Linked DNA regions of Macaca mulatta. The protein of the gene in region 1 purifies or fractionates together with the protein of each later gene. This does not show direct contact. Links are inferred from orthologs where the notes say so. Each region holds a gene or a part of one and is shown on either strand. Other genes may lie near its edges. The genes, in order: CDK8, MED19 and MED8.

Region 1 (6,626 bases):
CAAAATTGCCTACGACACATTTTTCAGAATGTATCCCTTCATTAAGTAGTGCATGACTGCATTGTACTTACTTGAATTGGGCATAATCTTGCATTGGAGGAATTCTTTGTGGATGAGAGCTCTATTAAAAAATGAGATTGGTGTGAAAATAAATTTTAATATCTCTTGAGACTTTTAGTTATTCTTTGTTTTCTGACCTGTGATAAGAATAGTTTTAGGTCAAGTTTAGTGGGTCACACCTGTAGACCCAGCACTTTGGGAGGCCAAAGCAGGAAGATCACTTGAGCCAAAGGATTTGAGACAAGACAAGCCTGGGCCACATGGCAAGACCCTATCTCTACAAAAAAAAAAAAAAAAAAAAATTGGCTGAGCTCAGTGGCACACACTTGTGGTCCCAGCTGTTCATGGGACTGAAGCCCAGGAAGTCGAGGCTGCAGTGGGTCCTGTTCACACTGTTGCACTCCAGCCCGGCTAAGTTTTGTATTTTTGGTAGAGACAGGGTTTCACCATGTTGACCAGGCTGGTCTCTTAGCTCCTGATGTCAGGTGATCTGCCCACCTCGGCCTCTCAAAGTGCTGGGATTACAGGCCTGAGCCACTGAGCCCAACCAGTTTATTAGTTTATCTAATGCAATGCAGAAAATGATGCTATATTGAAAAAAATTACTGTAAAATAAGAACTTAAATTAATCTTGTCTAAGTAGCTGAAATTCAAACACCAGCCTCAGTATTTTGCAGTTTACTAAGCAGATTATTTTTTAAATTGGTATTTGAGGAACTCTTAGGTAACTATGAAATTTGCTGTTTTGTTAAATATAACATTTATGTTTTAAAAAAAATCTGAAACGTTACCTTGCAGATAAGACTGAGATATATATATTATATACATATATATATAGAAAATCTATAACAGGATAGCCAAAGTAATTTTGAAACATATTCACAATTACATTCTTACCAATCTGTATAAAGAACATCTGTTAATACAGATTATAGTTTAAGAAACAAGTAAACCAAACCTCTAACATTACCTTGTGTTAATTCATTAAGAATTACTTTACTCCTGTGTACTGGGTTTTTAATGATATTTAATAATGTCTTTAAACATTGTATTGATTTGCATACTAATCTATATTTACTAAGTTAGCATGGCCATGCTTTTTAATTTGTACACATGAAATTTTCTCTCTTTTATGAAACTCTTTTGAAAGTTCATGCTGATTATTAATTTTTTCGTCTTTTTTTAATCTTTGGTTCTTCTGTTCTTCTATTTTAAAATAAGTCTAATCGTATCAACCCTGTTAAATCAGCGTGGCCAGTATTAAATTGAACACTCACCATACTGAGCCTCATAAGAAATGAAGTCATATAATTTAAACTTAAGGCATTTTCCAGGCTGGTTCATAAACAAGATTTGTGATAAACCACGGTAGAGCGTAGAAGATAGTATAATATTTCACTCAATGTGATTTCTAGCTGCTAGTTTGTAATATTTAATTTTACATGTAGGTACAATGATTATACTTTAACAAATTTTATTGCATGTAATATTGTACAGTGTATATAAATAGTTCATTAGCTTTATCATCATCTTAATAATATTTAAGCCAAATAACTATTTTTAATGTTCATTTTCATTAAAAACAAACGATAATTTAGCCTACTAAAGCCCACTCCTTTATCTATTTTAATTGGAATGTTGAAGTGAATTGGTAGGGGTTAGGCAGCAGAGGGTAACAAGGCAGTTGCGATAAAAATAGTTATTTTTAAAAATCACTTAAGCATTGGTGAGATTTCATGGTATGTGTACTTTGCATTTGTTATGTAGCCCTGGAATATAAAGAAGATGACAGTAGGGTTTGTCATTTTAAAATATTGGTAAAAGAAATCACTTGTAATACTCTAATAAAGTGTACATGAAGAAATATATATGAAATTGATTAATTACCTTACCTCTCCTACATATCCGCCCACCTCGGCCTCCCAAAGTGCTAGGATTACAGGCGTGAGCCACCACGCCCGGCCCAAGAATCTTAAGGAGAACAGACTTGATTGTCACATCATATTTTAGGACAGGTGACAAAACAGTCTAGATATTAAATTGTTGTAGCTCTGTTTTGTTTGCCTGCTATTAAATACCTTGAAAAAAAGACTGAGAGGAAAATTAAAGTCGGTTAATGCTGCTCATTTAGATTAGTCACACTACATAGGTGCAAACTGCTACACTTTACCTTCTCGTGGGTACTTGCTATCTATTTTTCCTTGGAGAGTAAAGCTCCTTTACTCATTAATCATTAGTTATTCCTTACTTGTATTATATTCTGTGTATCATAAGAAAATAGCAAGTGAAAATGTTAACTTATAATGTTAAATATCTCTTATTTTTATTATGTTTACTGATTTCAAGAACATGCTTAATATTTACTTACATATATTGGCCGAGGGTCTGCTCTGTGCAATATTAGGTTCAGGGATATGTACAATGGTGTGCAAGGCATAGTTGACTACAGCCAAGTTACAGATTTTCCTGCAGTTTAAAAGTGATCCAATTAAGAAAATGAGTCCTCCTATCACGAGCATTTGAAACTTTTCAAAAAAAACTTGTAAGGCACATTCATTTATAAAGTAATTTTTCTATGTATAAAGTTGTGCTTTGTTTTACTGGATGTCCAACAACATTATACATAGAAAGCTTTGATGGATGGTACAAGGCATTTTTTTTTCCCTCAGAATCTTTCATATTTTTCCATTTTTCCCTGTGAACTGGTATGTCATTTCTTTGTGCTTGTGTTATTTTATTGAAGCATCTCCCCACTTGCTTTCTTTATAACCTATGTTATAAATAGGTTCTCATTCTATACCATGTCAGCCAGCCAGAAGTATCTCTTGAACTTTGTTTTTTTTTTTTCATTGTATCTACCAGATAAACAGGAATCAAATATACTCTGAAAGTAATTGATTTTTAATTATGCTGTAAAAATAAAAGCACAGTATTTCCTAATTCCTTGTTGTGATAATGTATTTCCTGAAATGCTGTCATATGCTTAGGAAATGGAATTTTAGCTGCAGTTATTAGGGAATTTTAAAGTTGTTTATGTTATTCAGCAGAGTATGAAATTGTATTTTCAATATCTGTGGGAATCCCTGAGTGTTTCTTTTTCTGTTAGGAAAATATTACATATCAAATGATCTTTTCCTTTTTTTTAAGCTTCTGGTGATATTTTTTCTTTCTTTCAGCATATAATCAAGTTTCACAGAGCTTCTAAAGCAAACAAGAAGCCAGTTCAGTTACCTCGGGGAATGGTGAAGTCACTATTGTATCAGATCCTAGATGGTATTCACTACCTGCATGCTAACTGGGTGTTGCACAGAGATTTGGTAAGTTGATCTGTAATTGGTTTAAACTAGAAAGATGCATTACAGTTGGATACTTTTCTAGTTGTCTGTAGATACCAGTGCTATATGTAGGCCTGCAAACCTTATAGAGGTAGTGAGAACGCTACATTCTCAAAAAATGGCCTAGTAGTGTTTTTATAGAATTCATCCTGCTTCTTTGACATACACTAGATGGTATTTATTTTGAAGTGAAATAAGACACATTTGTTTTCCTAAGCTTCTGTTTCCTTTTAAGTTCATAAATAAAGCATTAGCTTGCTTCACATTGATTATTAGATGCAAGGCAAACTGTAGAAATTTATATATTTATAATAACTTGAAGGTAAAACTTTTGGAGCCTACTGCATACTTATTTACATATTAGAAAAGGAAAATGTTAATTCAGTATGCTTATATTTTAAGCCCCTCTATGTTAGTAGCAGTCTGTTGGCCAATAGCCTTTATTAATCGTAATTGAAGTATATTATTAGAAACCTTGCTGTATTCAGGTACATTGAAGTTTTAAGAATTTAAAAACGGAAGAAACTGACTTTTTATTTAATGTGTCAAAGTCATTTATGCCTTTTTTCACCCATCTTGCACAGGGGTACCCAGCCCCCAGGCCACAGACCAGTCCATGGCCCATTAGGAACCAGGCCACACAGCGGGAGGTGAGCGGTGGGTGAGCATTACCACCTGAGCTCAGCCTCCTGTCAGATCAGTGGCAGCATTAGATTTTCATAGGAGCCAGAACCCTATTGTGAACTGCACATGCAGGGGTTCTAGACTGCACACTCCTTATGAGAATCTAATGCCTTATGATCTGAGGTGGTACAGTTACATACTGAAACCATCCCTTCCCACCCCACTGTGTGGAAAAACTGTCTTCCATGAAACTGATCCCTGGTGCCAAAAAGATTGGGGACTGCTGATCTAGCATATTATTATTCATTAAATTTTCATGGATTTCAGTTACCTAAACTTCAAATTGCCCTTTCTTACTACATAATTACATTGCTTTTATAGTTCTTTTCTTTGTAAAGATAGTAACTATAATAAGATTTATAACAGCACCGTCATTTCAAACAAATATAAACACAATGCTGAAAGTGATGATTTTGTCTCTAATCACCTGTATACAAAGGAAATATCCTGTAGGCCATGAGGCGGAGCCCATCTGGTCTCTCGCAAAGATGTTCTTCACAAATTTAGTGAGCTTAGTCTCTGGCCTTCAAATGTGCTGTTCCAGTGGCATAGTTTCTACTTCTTTCTTCTAGCTTTAGGAAATTGCCTTGTAGCACATTTAATGTTAGTTAGTTACTTTATCTCCAGTTCTCGTACCTACAAAGCATTTAGACTAGGACCAATAACACAGCAGAAATTTGGTTGGACTTGTTTCTTTATGCAAGCTTTTATTTTTAATAGAGTTAGAATATTTTACTTATAAAAATAGATTTACAGGCCGGGCGCGGTGGCTCGTGCCTATAATCCCAGCACTTTGGGAGGCTGAGGCAGGGTGGATCACAAGGTCAGGAGTTCAAGATGAGGCTGGCCAAGATGGTGAAACCCTGTCTCTACTAAAAATACAAAAAATTAGCCGGCTTGGTGGTAGGCACCTGTAATCCGAGCTACGCTGGAGGCTGAGGCAGAGAATTACTTGAACGTGGGAGGCGGAGGTTGCAGTGAGCCAAGATGGCACCACTGCACTCCAGCCTGGACGACAGAGTGAAACTCCATCTCTTAAAAACAAAACAAAACAAAAAATAGATTTACATAACAGAAATCAGACAAATCCTTTGGCATTTTATGAAGCTGAAAATAAATTTTGGCCATTGTGGTGGAGTCAAATTAGGGAAAAACATTTCTACTTTTGAGCTACCCATCCTTTTTATGATGTCTAAAAGAAAAAACTGTGGCTAAAGGACATGTTTTTCCCCATCGAGTCAGTTATGCTAAGATAGCTCTACATTTTCTTTTTCTTGTAAATTATTCTTTTCACTTGAAGTATGTATGCATATTAGGTAAATACAGACTGATTTTTAAAACCAATATTTAAATTTCATGTAATAATATAAATATACTTAAGCCACTTAGAGTAGTATTAAGTATAGTAGTGAAAATTATGATACCAAGTTTCTTTTATCTCTCTTATGGTAAAGCTCTTCCTACTAATGCACCTTAAGTAGATTCTCTTTGACATAGGGTCAGTGTAGAACCGATCATTTCAGAAGGCTCTGTTAGTGGTGTACTAAGTGGTGGAGAGTGGAAGGATCGGTGCCCCCTAATATAGGCAACAAGGGATGCATTGTCTGTAGGTGATTTAAAAATAATAATAAAGCATACTAAAAGTTAGTTGCTTTTTATTGTCACCATATGCTGACAATTCTGAACAATTTCAGTAATAAAGTATTTCTCTACAGTGAGGCAAATCACTCTTACTCCTCCATCCCTCTTGCCATTATTTAAAGTTTATTAATCCAAAAAGTTCTGCGGTGTCTACTGCTATCTTCTTTGATTTCCATATTTGAGTGAGATTTTCCGTATTTTCTGTGCATGACTTCTTAGTATTCTTTATAAACGTCTGTCTCTTCTGTGTATCTCAGGCACACAGAAATCCACTGAACCATTGTTTCATGAAAATGACAGCCTTTGCCTCTAACCTAGATCCTACTGGTTCAGATGCCCACCTTTCAAATTCTGAAGGAAAAACTCATTTACCATATATGTACATTTTAAAATGTGAGCACCTTCCTGCCAACTGAAAAAGCTTTAAAGTTTTAACGTTTATAGTGTTTGAACAATAGCTACATTTGATTCTAATATATGTAGTAATATCATATTAACTCTCAAGAACATTGGTCAGCCGGGCGCGGTGGCTCACGCCTGTAATCCCAGCACTTTGGGAGGCTGAGGTGGGTGGATCATGAGGTCAGGAGTTCGAGACCAGCCTGGCCAAGATGGTGAAACTCCGTCTCTACTAAAAATACAAAAATTAGCCGGGCATGGTGGCACATGCCTGTAATCCTAGCTACTTGGGAGGCTGAGGCAAGAGAATCACTTGAACCCGCGAGGCAGAGGTTGCAGTGAGCCGAGATTGTGCCACCGCACTCTAGCCTGGGTGACAGAGCGAGACTCCGTCTCAAAAAGAAAAAAAAAGAACATTGTTCAGAAGCTATATAACATAATTTTTTTTAACTTGTTCTTCTCAAATATTTGTTGTTAGTTGCATATGAAATATTTACCCTATCCAAA
Region 2 (6,726 bases), on another chromosome or scaffold:
TAAACCACAAATTTTACATTCCTAACTAATCTCCTTGAAAAGCAATGACCAGCATTACTAATCTCTCTCTCCATCTCACCCTCCTCATACACCCAGCATTTGCCCAGAACAGATATTCAATCTGTCAACTGACTGATACCAATAGCTACAATCAGAATAGGGAAGGCAAAAGAAAGATTAAAGGAAACTGCTGGTGGACATCAACCACTAACTAATCAAAGGGATGTCAACTTCTCCATGTTTCAGTTTTTTCAATTATAAAATGTAGATAATAATGCTACCTCAAAGGGCTATTCTAAGTATTAAATACTACTTCATATGTGTTGTGAACTTTGAAGTACCATACCAATATCTGTCGCTACTTCCCTCAAGTCATGATGCGGAACTAAGACTTGAGACAATGAAAGGCATCTGGGAGGCCAGGCGTGGTGGCTCACACCTGTAATCCTGGCACTTTGGGAGGCCAAGGTGGGTGGATCACCTGAGGTTGGGAGTTTGAGATCAGCCTGACCAACAGGGAGAAACCTCGTCTCTACTAAAAATAAAAAACTAGCTGGGTGTGGGGGCGCATGCCTGTAATCCCAGCTACTCGGGAGGCTGAGGCAGGAGAATCGCCTGAACCTGGGAGGCGGAGGTTTCAGTGAGCCGAGATTGCGCCATTGCACTCCAGCCTGCGCAACAAGAGCAAAACTCTGTCTCAGGAGAAAAAAAAAAAAAAAAAAAAAAGAGAGAGAAAGGCAGCATCTTGGAGACCAAACATGTCCAAAACAACTCGATTTCCACCTCTTCAAACTTGTTCCTTCCTCATCTTCCAAGTCTCGTACCCATACACCCAATTATTCAAGCTGAAAACTTAAAAAGGCATCAATTCCTCTATCTCCTTCACTTCTATATACAATATGTATTTTTAACTGAGACAGCTTCTTCCTCTATCATCTAAGCTGGAGCACAGTGGCACAATCACAGCTCACTGCAGCCTCAACTTCCTGGGCTCAAGTGATTCTACCACCTCAGCTTCCTAAGTAGCTGAGACTACAGGTGTACGCTGCTATCCCTAGCTAATTTACTTTTATTTTTTGTAGAGATGGGGTCTCATTATATTGCCCAGGCTGGTCTCAAACTTTTGGGCTCAAGCAGTCCTCCCACCTCAGCCTCCCAAAGTGCTGGGATTACTGGCGTTAGCCACAGCACCTGGCTCTATATTCAGCTTTTCAACCCTGTCAGCTCTACATCTAACACCCTGTATCCATTTACTTCTCTAAATAAGTACATTTGACCAAGTTCCTATGTTAAAATGGCTTTCCTTGGCTGGGCACAGTGGCTCAGGCCTATAATCCTAGCACTTTGGGTGGCCAAGGTGGGAGGACTGTCATTGGCCAGGAGTTCAAGACCAGCTTGGGCAACACAGTAAGACCCAGTCTTTACAAAAAATTTTTAAGTTAGCCAACTGTGGTGGCACATGCCTGCAGTCCTAGCTACTTGGGAGGCTGAGGTGGGAGGACAGCATGCGCCTAGGAATTGGAGGTTACAGTGAGCTATGACTGTACCACTGCAGTCCAGCCTGGGTGACACAGTGAGACCTTGTCTCTATAAAAAATTGTTTTAAATGGCTTCCTTTTGTATTTACAATCTAAATGCCTTTATTGCTTTATAAAAGCCTCTGCCTAACTCTCCCAGCTTCATCTCTCTCCTAACACTCTTTCCTTTTGTTCACTTCACTGGAGTCCAACTGATTTTCTGTCCCTCAGATATTCTAAGCTTTTTCTCACATCAGGGTTTCTGACCTCATTTCCTGTATCTAGAATTATCTCTCCCTCCTGTCCATAGCTGGCTGGCCCTTTGTCTATGCTTACATTTTAGTTCAAATTTTAGCTATGTGGAGAGAGCATCTCTGGCCACTCTAGCTAAAGTAGTTCTGCCCCTCAATTTTTTTTTTAAGAGACAGGGTCTCATCTGTTGCCTAGGCTGGAGTGCAGTGGCACAATCTTGGTTCACTGCAGCCTGGACCTCCTGTGTTCAAGCAATTCTCCTCCCTTAGTCTCCTGAGTAGCTGGGGCTACAGGCAAGCACTACCACGGCCGGCTAATCTTGTATGTTTTGTAGAGACTGGGTCTCGCCATGTTGCCCAGGCTGGTCTCAAACTCCTGGGCTCAAAGGATCCTCCTGCCTCAGCCTACCCAAGCGCTGGGATTACAGGCGTGAGCAATGCGCCTGGCCACCTTCAATTTTTTATAATGTTTTCTCTTCCTAGCATTAACCACTCTCTGACATTATCTTGTTTACAATGCCTCCTACACTGAAATGTACATTCCAAAAAAGGCAAGCATCTTGTCAGTCTTGTTCACAACTGTATCTCCAGCATTTAGAAAAGTGCTTGGTACATAGGTACTCAACAAAATAATTTTTTGAATGAAAAGAGTTTGGTTCGATTCTTACCCCTTCTTTGATGACACCAGGAAACGCAGAAATCTTGGAAGAGTGGCAACTTGCCCCAAACCCACAGCAAGTCTGTGGGAGACTTGTAACTAAAACTTTAGGTCCCCAAAGATATTAAATCAGGCCTCTCGAGTTCCAAACTCAAACTCTTGATTTTTTGTTTGTTTGTTTTTGTTTTGAGACGGAGTCTCATTCTATCGCCCAGGCTGGAGTGCAGTGGAGCAATCTCGGCTCAATGCAACCTCCGCCTCCCGGGTTCCGAGTAGCTGGAATTAAAGGTATACGCCACCACGCCCAAGTAATTTTTGTGTTTTTAGTACAGACAGAGTTGCATCATGTTGGCCAGGCTGGTCTCGAACTCCTGACCTGAGGTGATTCGCCCGCCTCCGTCTCCCAGAGTGTTGGGATTACAGGCGTGAGCCACTGCGCCCAGCCCTAGATCATTTTTTAGGGAGACATAAACCAGTGTCAGGAACACAGCCTGGACATGGTGCAAAAGACAGTCACGGAGATGCACCACCCCGCTCCCCGCCATTCATCCCTTTGGTTGAATTCAACTCATCCCTCTGCTTGTGAATCCTAATAGCCCTTTCGACTTAGGGCTCCACAGTCCGGGTATGCGTTGCCTAGGTTACCTCGCACCTCCGTTAGCCGGCTGAGAGCCACGCCCAACACCTCCTCTCTAAGATTTGATTGGCTGGCTTTGGCAAGGCCGAGTACTCACCTGGCAGTTCCCTCATGAGGTAAAAAGGGCCACAGCCAGCTCCTGACTTGTCCGCGCCGGGAGGGGCCGTGGCCGCGGTGGGAGGCGGAGCCGTGCCGGGTCCCCCGCCCGGAGGAGGCGGTGGCGGGGGTGGAGGCTTTCCTGGTCCGAAGCCTAGTGCGGTTGGGGGCGGTGGTGGGTCAGCCTGAGCCCCGAACAGCGCCGTGAAATTCTCCATCGTCCCCTCCGCCCCGGCGCTGTCTCGGTGTCTGGCGTTGGTAATTTTCATTGGACAATGCCTTTAAGGAATACCCACCTCTTTCTCAAGGAACCGCTTGTCATTGGATGCCTCAGGCACCGCCTACCTTGTTTCAACAACTACTTCCGTCGCTCTCTGAGAACGTTCAGGAAGTGCTATTTAACCTTATTAGAGTCTTCTGCTAGCTACGTTAGCTACAGTCCAATAAAATGACTTAAGCTGATAAAGCGACAGCTAGACCAACCAATAAGATATTAAGTTCTTTTTTGGGTTCTGACATACCACAGCGTTGACAGAACTACATCCGGGTTTAGAGGCCGTACGTTTGAGATGTAGCCCAATAGCAGTCGCTATGGTGGGGGAGGCGGGGCCGGACCTACGACGCCGGTGAGCAGTGGCCCTTGCGGCCGAAAAGATGGCGGTCTTGGCTCCTCTAATTGCTCTGGTGTATTCGGTGCCGCGACTTTCACGATGGCTTGCCCAACCTTACTACCTTCTGTCGGCCCTGCTCTCTGCTGCCTTCCTACTCGTGAGGAAACTGCCGCCACTCTGCCACGGTTTGCCCACCCAACGCGAAGACGGTAACCCGTGTGACTTTGACTGGGTGAGCGTCCCGCGTCTCAGTACCGCGACCTTGACTGTCCCTGCCCTTGCAGGTGCATCTGGGAACCCTGGGGTTTACCTTTCTGAGGACACCTGAGGTTCCGAGCCTGTAGCGGATTTAACAGACTGTAAAGTGCAGAGTCCGAAACATCGTCGAGACTAAACTTTGTGTTTAATATGGGAAAACGGAACCTGTTAGTCGTAGCCCTGTACAACGGCCCAACAGCTTCTGACTGTTGAGTCCAGGTTTCTTTCCATTTCACCATTTAGACTAAGAAACAGCCCTGTCAAAACTGTACATATACGTGTATAGCATCTTACAGTGCCGCTCATTATGTAAAGCCTCCTGAGGAGCCAGTAAGGTAGGGAAGGCAAGTAGTAGTAGTCCTGTTTCATTGGTGAAGGAATGGATCTTGGTATATTTAGGCGACTTGCCCCAGGTCATGCAACTAATGAGTGCCTGGGACTTGAAACTATTCTTGTGGCCACACTACCTGCACACACTGTCAGCCGTTTCTTAATTCAATCAGCATTTCTAGAGTGTACACTCTAGGCACTCTGCTTGATCCTGAGGATGCGAAAGTGGATAAAATTTTGGGGCTACTGTAAAGGAATTGTAAAAAATAAGTTGTAAAGAAATCTTTGGGCTTTCTTTGAGAAGTGTCCCAAGCTCCTTGCTGTGCTTCCTTGGAATGGGTGGAGGGACTGCTCAGAACATGAACTTAAAGCACTTTACCCTCTGCTATATAGCATGTAAGGGCCAAGGCAAAGCTTCCCCTTAGCTCTCTGAGGGTTTGTTGAAAAATCAGCCGACAAAGGGCACGTTAATAGGAGAAAGGCACAGAAATTTTATTTTAACGTGCATAGCATGAGGGAATTGAAGGAGAATGACCCAGTGGGGTACAGAGGCTTATATACCCTTCTTCATAGGAGTATGGGAGATGGGGAAATGTGGGTGATTTTAAGGTGGATTGTAAATGACTTTTAGGGTGATTCAGTGGCCTGGAGAACATACAGTGGCGTGGGACAATGACTGTTGGGCCTGCAAAGCAGACAGTGGTTTCTGACAAAAATCTGTCCGGGTGTGTTGACAGGCTTCAGTCTTTCTTCCTGTACTATGAGTTAAGTTAATGAAAACTCAGGGAAGAGACCAGAAGTAATTGTTTTCTTCTTTGACAGGTCTGGACTTTAGGCAGATAAGGTAGTTATCAGAGTAAAGCTGCTTCCAGTATCTGCTGGTATCCAGGGACCTTTAATTTAAAATAATTAGCATACAGGATGCCATATTTTGGGCTGTGAGTCCCTGGTCTCCTTTATTTCCTTTGTCTGAAACTTCCTTAGAAGTTTCCCTATAAAAGCTGAGTTGGTGTCTGTGGAGAGAGAAATTGGGCTAGTAATTGAGCGGCAAAGGATCCCATTAAACCAGTCTCTCATTTTGGGGGATAGGCCAGTTCAGTTAAATTTCTGTGTCTCCTTTCAGGAGATGGCATTGTAGATGAGTTCTCAAAGCTAGTCTTCTATACATGATGTAGGCAAACAGATTTAATAAGAGAGACATATCTATGGAACAAGGCAAAGCTTAATATCTGGTATAGCGTATAAACTAGTTTCTTTAGAGTCTGGAGGGCAGTCAGTTGGGAAGATCAATAGCAATTTATTTTCCTAGATTGTAGGTTGTGTGTAAAGTTTGTCCAAATATAAGATGTTACGGTGATTTTTTTTTTTTTCAAAGACAAGTTGACTAGCTTTAGCTGATAAGGCCTTAGGAAAAAGGCAGGGTTTTTAGTTTTTTGGGGTTTTTTTGAGACAAGATCTTGCTCTGTTATCCAAGCTGGAGTGCAGTGGTGTGATCATGGCTCACTGTAGTCTTAACCTCCTGGGCAAAGCCATCCTGCCACCTCAGCCTCCCAGGTAGCTGGAACCAAAGGCATGCACTACACACCTGGCTAATTTTTAAAAAATTTTTTTGAGGTGGGGTCTCTTTATGTTGCCCAGGTTGGTCTTGAACTCCTGAGCTCGAGGGATCCTCCTGACTTGGCTTCCTAAGGAGCTGGGATTTACAGGCATGAGCCACTGCGCCAAGTCAAAAAGAAGGCTGTTTTAATTTTTAGTGATTCTAAGTCAGAAGAGTGGGTGAAAAATGGAAAACATTAGTCTGGAGGTTAGCAATTTTATGAGTCCAGTTTTATTTTCATTAGACTTTGGAAATTTTTACCCAGTCCAATGATGCAATTTCAAAGTTATCAGAAACCTGTATTTGTCAGAATTCTTCCCATGCTTTCCAAGAGCCTCCTTGAAAATAAGACACTTGGCCAGGTGTGGTGGCTGACATCTGTAATCCCAGCACTTTGGGAGGCTGAGGCGAGTGGATTTCCTGAGCTCAAGAGTTCGAGACCAGCCTGGCCAACATGGTGTAACCCTGTCTCTACTAAAAATACAGAAAATTAGCCGGGTGTGGTGGTGGGTGCCCGTAATCCCAGCTACTCTGGAGGCTGAGGCAGAAGAATCACTTGAACCCGAGAGGCAGAGGTTGCAGTGAGCCAGGATCGTGCCATTGCACTCAAGCCTGGGCATCAAGAGCAAAATTCTGTCTCAAAATCAATCAATAAGTAAAATAAAAAATACATATAATATATATAATATATGCTATATATTAATGTGCTTTTAATACTAATGCTAATTTTAATAAACTTTACAAACAAATCTGTCTAATCTTGATCAGCTT
Region 3 (6,626 bases), on another chromosome or scaffold:
ATTGTTTGCTTAGGGGAACAAGATGTAGGTGACATCCTGCATACGTTCCTGTTGGGGCAAGAGGACATTTCCATTCTTGGATGACAAGGAATCCATTTTAATAGTATGGCGGGGATGAAGTCAGTATTTGCCTGGGACACAAAAAAATCCTGCGGTTGGTGCTGTTCAATAGGAGGAAACCTTTTGGTGGAGTAAAGGGCAACAGTCACCAATAGACGCTCCAGGGGTTTCAGAGAAGCACAGCTCAAACTCTACCCAATATGCCAGTTAGCTTTGACATTTCCACTGGGAAGGGAAGAGGTGAGAAGATAGAGAACACCTCAGCAAGCTGATGAGTTGGAAGAGTTTAAGTAGGGAAAAGGTCTGTCTTTGCCTCAGAGCTGGTGACCAGACTCCCCTACTGCTATGTATTGTGGTCAGTGAGCTTTGTGGATACCATTCCTCGTCTTGATGGAATGGTAACAGATGTGACATCTGGGACCACTTTTCCAGTCCTTTGCTGCCACAGCCTGGCAGAACTTTGTTTGGCACTGAACAAATGCCAAAGCACCAGTGTGTGATAGAAGAGAACAGAAAAAAGGCAGCTGGAAGGTATGAGCAGGAGGGAAGTCGCAGGATTTTTAGATCAAAGCTAATTAAAGATATGAAAACTTTTTTATGGAGAGCAAATTAGAACTGCCTTGCAGCACTCTTGAAATTGCCTCTGATCCCTATGTAGTGCTCTCATAAATTACTGTCAGACAACCCTGAGCCAGTGAACATCAATTTAAATAACTTTATTCAGAGGAATCCTTTGGTCCACTTCTGCTGACTCAACCCCTGCCCATGCCGACAAACAAGTACTAAGAAAGGCAGATTAGCCTGAATGTCTAAATTCACTTTGTTCAACTTTATAAAAGCAGTGGGGGTTGCCCCCTCCCACCATCAATCTGGTTCACCATTTGGGCCACAGGCTTAGGGAAATGAAGGAAAGCCATCCTGGCCAGTCGAGAAACTGGGCACCATTATGAGGTCAACTAAACCCTGATGGCAGTGTGAAGTGCAATTCCCTTCTCCCTCCAAAATAAGAAACACGAGTCCAGGGGAAGGGGCTTTTTCATGTGCTAAGAAAAAACCCTTTCCCACATAGTCCTGCCTGGCAGAGCCACTTCCTGAGAAAGCCTCGTGTGATAAGGGTGGGGTAAAGAATAGGGGACTTTATGACTATTTGCCAGGTAAGAGCCAAGTTGGCTTTTCAGAGCATAGAAAGGACAGCAGGCCCAAGCTTCACCAGAGCTGTAGGCGGGCATTTTTTTTTTCTTCCTGACCCAGAAGCTTCTTCACCTTGCACCTTAGAGGGACAGCCAGAATGAAAACCAGGCAGGAGGGCCTGCAAAGACAGTGTGCCTCTAAGAACACAGAGGTTGCTACAGTTTTTGGCAGCATGAAATAAGCAAAGCCTTATTTGATCTTGTGTCCATCAGCTCACCATTGACATGAGGCAGTATCAGATCAGGGTAAGTTCTGGATCAAGGACTGTGGAGGGTGGTGGGGAGAAGGATCTGTAGAAACTATCATTTATTGAATACCCATTATTTCATATACTGTGCTAAGTGCTTTACATTCATTTCCTCATTTTAATCCTCACAACAACTCTATAAGGTAGGTATTATCACCATTTACAAATGAGAAACAGGCTCAGAAAATTAGGTCACTTGTCCAAGGTCACACAGCTAGTCAGTGGTGGAAGTGGGATTTGTCTGTTGCTGAAAGCCCATGTTCTTTTTATTGTACCCATCTAGGTGAGCCTTGAGCAAAAGATAATTTCACTGCCCAACTCTGCAAAGAGCACCAGGGAGTCGAGGTTGCCAGCCACACTCACCGCTGGTAGGGATGCATTGAAGCCGACTTGATGTTGGTTTTTATTCCACTTGGCATTTTCCCTGAAAGGAACATGAAGAAAGACATCTCAAGCAAGGTAAGACTTTCACGACAAATCAGAAATGTGGTATCTCAGGTTCCCTCTGTCACCTCCTTTATCATCTCAGAACCTCTGTAGCATCTGACCTTGTTTGACAAAGGTCAGAAGTATGGTTCTTCACCCAGCTCTCTCCCTGAAGGTGCCCAGGAGGAAAGAAGTGATATGGGAGAATAGTCTGTTCATCCACTCCTAGAAAAGATAGCTAAACCTGTGTGACCCCCATTTAATGTCACAGGTAAAAAGAGTACTTTCTCTCATTGTTTTTTTTTTTTTAATATCATAAGAACTGCAGAATCTTTGTTTTAATTGTCCCTTCTCCTAGACAGCTTGGAGGAAATAACTCTTCTAGCTGCCTCCATATAGACTATTCTAAAAATGAGTAGGAGAGAAAGCAGGAAGCCAAGAGCAAGAGAGGCATGATACAGAGAAAAGAATACATGTAGGACTGGAAAACTGGCCTGCGTGTCAATTCCTAATGCACCTACCAAACGGTCTTAAGATCTGACCACTGATTTCTCTACCTAAGAAGAGACACTGACAACATATCTAATACCAGAATAAATGGGACCGAAGGATAGTTGACACAGAGATGTGAGATGGAGATGGGAAATGAGAGCAGTTTCTGTTACTCAAAGTTCTTCCTCACTCTCTGGTGTCTATGCAGAGTCTCAAATGAGATTTTTTTACTTCTGAAAATTATTTCCTGGGTCACAGTGCAAAGGAGAAATGGAGAAAATCTCTAGGTCTAGAGATGCTGGAGGCCCAGATAATCTAGCTTATTCCCTCCAGCTCCCCTGCTCAAAGTCAACTTCCCTTCAACCCCTGCCACCTTACCTGGTTGACCTGCTTGAGCCATTTGTACCCCACTGAGCATTGGCTGCTGCTGGCTTGGAGCTCCTGCCATCTGCACCTGCTGTAATCCTGAGGTTCCTGCAAGGATCGTCCCAGCTCCTGGCTGGCCTGGCTGGCCAGGACCACTGCTGCCTGAAGGTCTCCAGTTAGACAGTCCTTTCCCAAAGGCAACAGCTGCCACCAAGGCATTAGTGTCTGTAGGGTTAAAGGTCTGCTTGTTTGGCCGGAGACCTGAAGAAAAAGTAAGTGGGGATCCTGAAGTATGTTTCTGATGCAGGACTGAACGTGGCAGCTGGAAGACCAGTATGAGTGCCAGGGTTTAGAGTTCTGAATTCAGCAGCATCTAGACTCCCTCACAGCCCATAAAAAGAGCCAGAGGACCCCCAAGCCTATCTCAGAATTCTCTCTTCTTACTTTGCCCATTTCCTCCACTGCTTCAGGGTTGGCCTTAAATACAAAAGGCTAACAGAATGGATGCAAACCCTAAAGCAGTTCACTCTTGTGTCCTAACTTCACTACTCTCGAAACAACCATTCCCATTCCAGTGATCTTATATACCTCTCCTTCTCTGTTTTGCCACCAGTCCACCATACCTCCACTCTCTGATTCTCGCTCCTCTTTGCTGATTTTCTCCAGAAGGTTTGAACACATTTTATTCAAGCTCTGGATCTGCTTCTGTAACACACAAATTTGTGCAGAGATTAGGGTAACTAGGAAACGATATGGACAAATTTATTCCTTGGGTTCTGCCAGAAGCAGCTTAGGTGCAACCAACTATGCATCCCTACTAGACAGGAATGGTAATGCCTAGCTTCTCATGATGGGATGGGGATGGGGCAGCAAGGCAGTGACTCAGTCCAACCTGGGCTGCATCTGCACCAATGCGGGCAGCATCTGTCGTCAGTTGCTTCTCCTGTTCTTCCACCTCAGGGTCAGGCTTGGTTCTCAGATGGTCAGGGACTACCTCATGGCTGAAAACGGGCACCCGTCCTTCAGTCTGCCGCTGCAACACACAGATTTTATTGATCCTACTATGCACTCCAAGAAGATTCTATCTGGCCTGATATACAGTCCCATCCACAGGCAAACAGTGCATTTTCAAGGAAAATACAACCTAAGACATAATATCTAGTTTCCTAGGACACAATCTCCTTTACTCCAGCCTTCATTTTTTGTGTCTTCTCACATCCCTATCTCTACCAGACCTAGAGGCAAATTAAACTATCACTGTCTGCCACGTTTCAAAGACTGAAACAGACAAAGTCACCAAAGGGCAGACTTTGTGGCTTGAGACAGATGTTGGAGAAGGAAGGTACCAGCCTTGGTGACATACCCCTCAGGTTATTACAACACTATTTGGGAGTGGCTCTCCCACCTTCAGAAGAACAAAAAGCAAGGCCTCCAAAATTATTTCTAAGTTCTCAGCTAAGAACTTAATTTCCCTAAATAGTAAAGAAGCCTAAAAAACTCCTTAATTTCCCAAGTTGTATTCTTTTTCTGCTCTTACCATGAGATCTTCATCTCGGTCTGGAGACAACACCAGAGGGATGATGACCTGGTTACGGAACAGCGGTGTTTTTTCATGCTTCAAGACCTTGTTCAGAGTGTTCAACTGTCCAGAAAGCAAGGCAAAGCTGTCCAGGACAGATGGCCTGTTGGCAGTAAGCAGGTGTCAGAATGTTCCACCCCTTCCTTGGGTGGTTCTTAGTAAAATAGTCCTAGTTCCTTCAGGCTAGGAACACTCGGATTTATCCCCAAAAGTCTCATAGCCCTATGACTAGCCTAAGTGGGAAGAAACTAACAAGGATGACAGGGTTATGAAAGAGGGACATAGTTTCAGTTTATGAAACAGATGTAGAAAAAATCCAGTTCATTGTTTGAATGAGGTGAGGAACAGTGGCAAAATAGGACTATACTGTTATAACTAAAACTTCAGAAACCCGGTAAAATCCTTCTTTCCAGCCTGGAAATAGGATCCACACTTCAGAGTAGGTTGGATCTAAAGGACTCAGCCATATTTGTGGCAAGAGATCCAGCACAAATAGAGCTGTAATAGGAGGACCTCCTCACCAGAGAAGTCAAAGGGTAAGAATTGAAAGCTATAATGAACTTGGGTTAGGAAACCGAGCATTTCTCTACTTCCTTGCCATGGAAGCCACTTGCTAAATGTTACGAAACCCAGCTCTTTCCAAATCAAAAGATGTTTGTAAACTGATAAATGGTTACATCATTAGAAGTGTCCTATTCATCAGAAGGCTAGGCCCCCCCACCCATAAGCCCTCCCTAGCTTGCCCTGGCAACCCTTACCAGGTCAGCCGGCCATACTCGTTCTCCAACTTGCAAATGAAACTTCCCAGTGAGTTCTTCAGATCAGCCACTTGACTCAGCAGTGCATCTAATGATGCCTCAAGCTGCTTCTCCTCTCTCTGCACCAATAGGAACAGGTTGGTTACCCAGATAAACGAGTATGACACATAGAAAGGAGGGCTGAAAAGCCAAGGAGATGGTGTGCAAACACCAGTCAGGTAACAGGATCTCATTGGCATAGGATAACCAGGTTGTTTCCTATCTGTGGTATTTGGGTTATAGACAGCATCAACCCTGAGACCTTTCAACCGTTTGCCTGACCCAAGTACTTCCACCAACTGATTCCTTTTTCCCATCCGCTCCTAATCTATGCCTGGTTTTTCTCTGTATTAGGTACACCCTACACTCCCTCATTGAGACATTTTCGACAAACCTAATGCCAGATCATTATCTCATGTGCACCTCTGTAGCACATGCACTCCAGCTTCCTCCATCCTAGCATTTGTGAGCCTGGCTCTCTTGTCAGTCTCTGGGAAATCTGCCTACTCATGAAGACTTCTCTGAATACCAGCCCTGCTCTCCTCTTTCCCTCCCCCCACCAACCACTCCAGCTTTCCATCTGCTCTCATCATTTCATGTTTCAACCTTCTCCTCGCTGAATTAATATGCACCCATCTATCTCTGTGTCAATATTCCCGTGCCTCTTTCACAAGCTCGGTCAACCCAATAACATTTCTTGAGACTACCAGCTGCAGGAAACTAAGTGACAAATGAAAACCAAAACCGCACATGCTTCTAAGCACTGAACAAACAAATTAAAATGCCGGGGGTCTGCAAAGCATTTCCTTCCCATCGGTGGTATCCTGTTTTATTCCATTTCTTCACCCTTAACAACTATAGGGCACAGGCTGGGAAGAGTGATGCAAAACTGTCTTGCAAACCTGCTAAGGTGCCTGACAGGAACTTGATCCTGGGTTCCACCATGGCCTCACATTACAAGCTGCTTAGCTTTCGGACACCGCGGCCCACAATTCCCTCACTGCTTGGGCTTCTTTCCAATTAGATCCCCTGCTATATCGGCATCCAACAGCCTCCATCCAGCAGCTTAGGACAGGGCCTGAGCCAACCCACCACCTCCTGAGCCGTCTTCCTTGGACTGCATCTCGGCCTCCCCGTATTACAACCTAATCCTTTCCCACGCCAAGCAAGTCAGTGCTGCCTCCTCCCTCCGGATTTAGCCCGACCGCCTTCTGTCAGGCGAGCTCCACCCCCACCTCTCATCTGCGCCGCTCCCTCTCCAATTAACCTCGCCCCCCAACCCACGTTCCCTTATCAGCCGTGGGTTCTGCCCTCTCTTCTCAGTCCCAACTCTTCATTCTCCTTAGCCAGCCCACTCTGGCTCCCTGTAGCCGAAGCTGGCCAGCCGCTAGCACTCCCAACGCGGCTCTCACCTGCATTGCGGCGGCCGAGGCGACTGCAACGATTTCCACTTCCGGTTTCCTGTCAG

What was found.
Region 2: the proteins of CDK8 (region 1) and MED19 purify together in Homo sapiens (affinity purification with mass spectrometry; 8 studies listed by BioGRID and IntAct, counting the BioPlex papers as one, with this or other methods). This does not show direct contact. The link is inferred for Macaca mulatta from reciprocal best matches to the Homo sapiens genes CDK8 and MED19.
Region 3: the proteins of CDK8 (region 1) and MED8 purify together in Homo sapiens (affinity purification with mass spectrometry; 7 studies listed by BioGRID and IntAct, counting the BioPlex papers as one, with this or other methods). This does not show direct contact. The link is inferred for Macaca mulatta from reciprocal best matches to the Homo sapiens genes CDK8 and MED8.

What each region holds. Positions count from the first base shown.
Region 1 is NC_133422.1:6,465,692-6,472,317, forward strand, and holds part of CDK8 (cyclin-dependent kinase 8), read left to right. Parts: intron 1-3,236; coding exon 3,237-3,377; intron 3,378-6,626.
Region 2 is NC_133419.1:15,679,949-15,686,674, reverse strand, and holds the start of MED19 (mediator of RNA polymerase II transcription subunit 19), read right to left. Parts: upstream 3,411-6,726; 5' UTR 3,378-3,410; coding exon 3,161-3,377; intron 1-3,160. Other genes in the region: TMX2 (thioredoxin-related transmembrane protein 2), read left to right, coding at 3,814-4,002. UniProt on the Homo sapiens protein: Component of the Mediator complex, a coactivator involved in the regulated transcription of nearly all RNA polymerase II-dependent genes.
Region 3 is NC_133406.1:197,281,075-197,287,700, reverse strand, and holds the end of MED8 (mediator of RNA polymerase II transcription subunit 8), read right to left. Parts: intron 6,601-6,626; exon of another isoform or gene 6,592-6,600; 5' UTR 6,577-6,591; coding exon 6,571-6,576; exon of another isoform or gene 6,061-6,570; intron 5,239-6,060; coding exon 5,120-5,238; intron 4,465-5,119; coding exon 4,320-4,464; intron 3,816-4,319; coding exon 3,675-3,815; intron 3,488-3,674; coding exon 3,406-3,487; intron 3,044-3,405; coding exon 2,795-3,043; intron 1,923-2,794; coding exon 1,862-1,922; coding exon of another isoform or gene 1,858-1,861; exon of another isoform or gene 1,543-1,857; intron 1,370-1,542; coding exon 1,267-1,369; 3' UTR 762-1,266; downstream 1-761. UniProt on the Homo sapiens protein: Component of the Mediator complex, a coactivator involved in the regulated transcription of nearly all RNA polymerase II-dependent genes.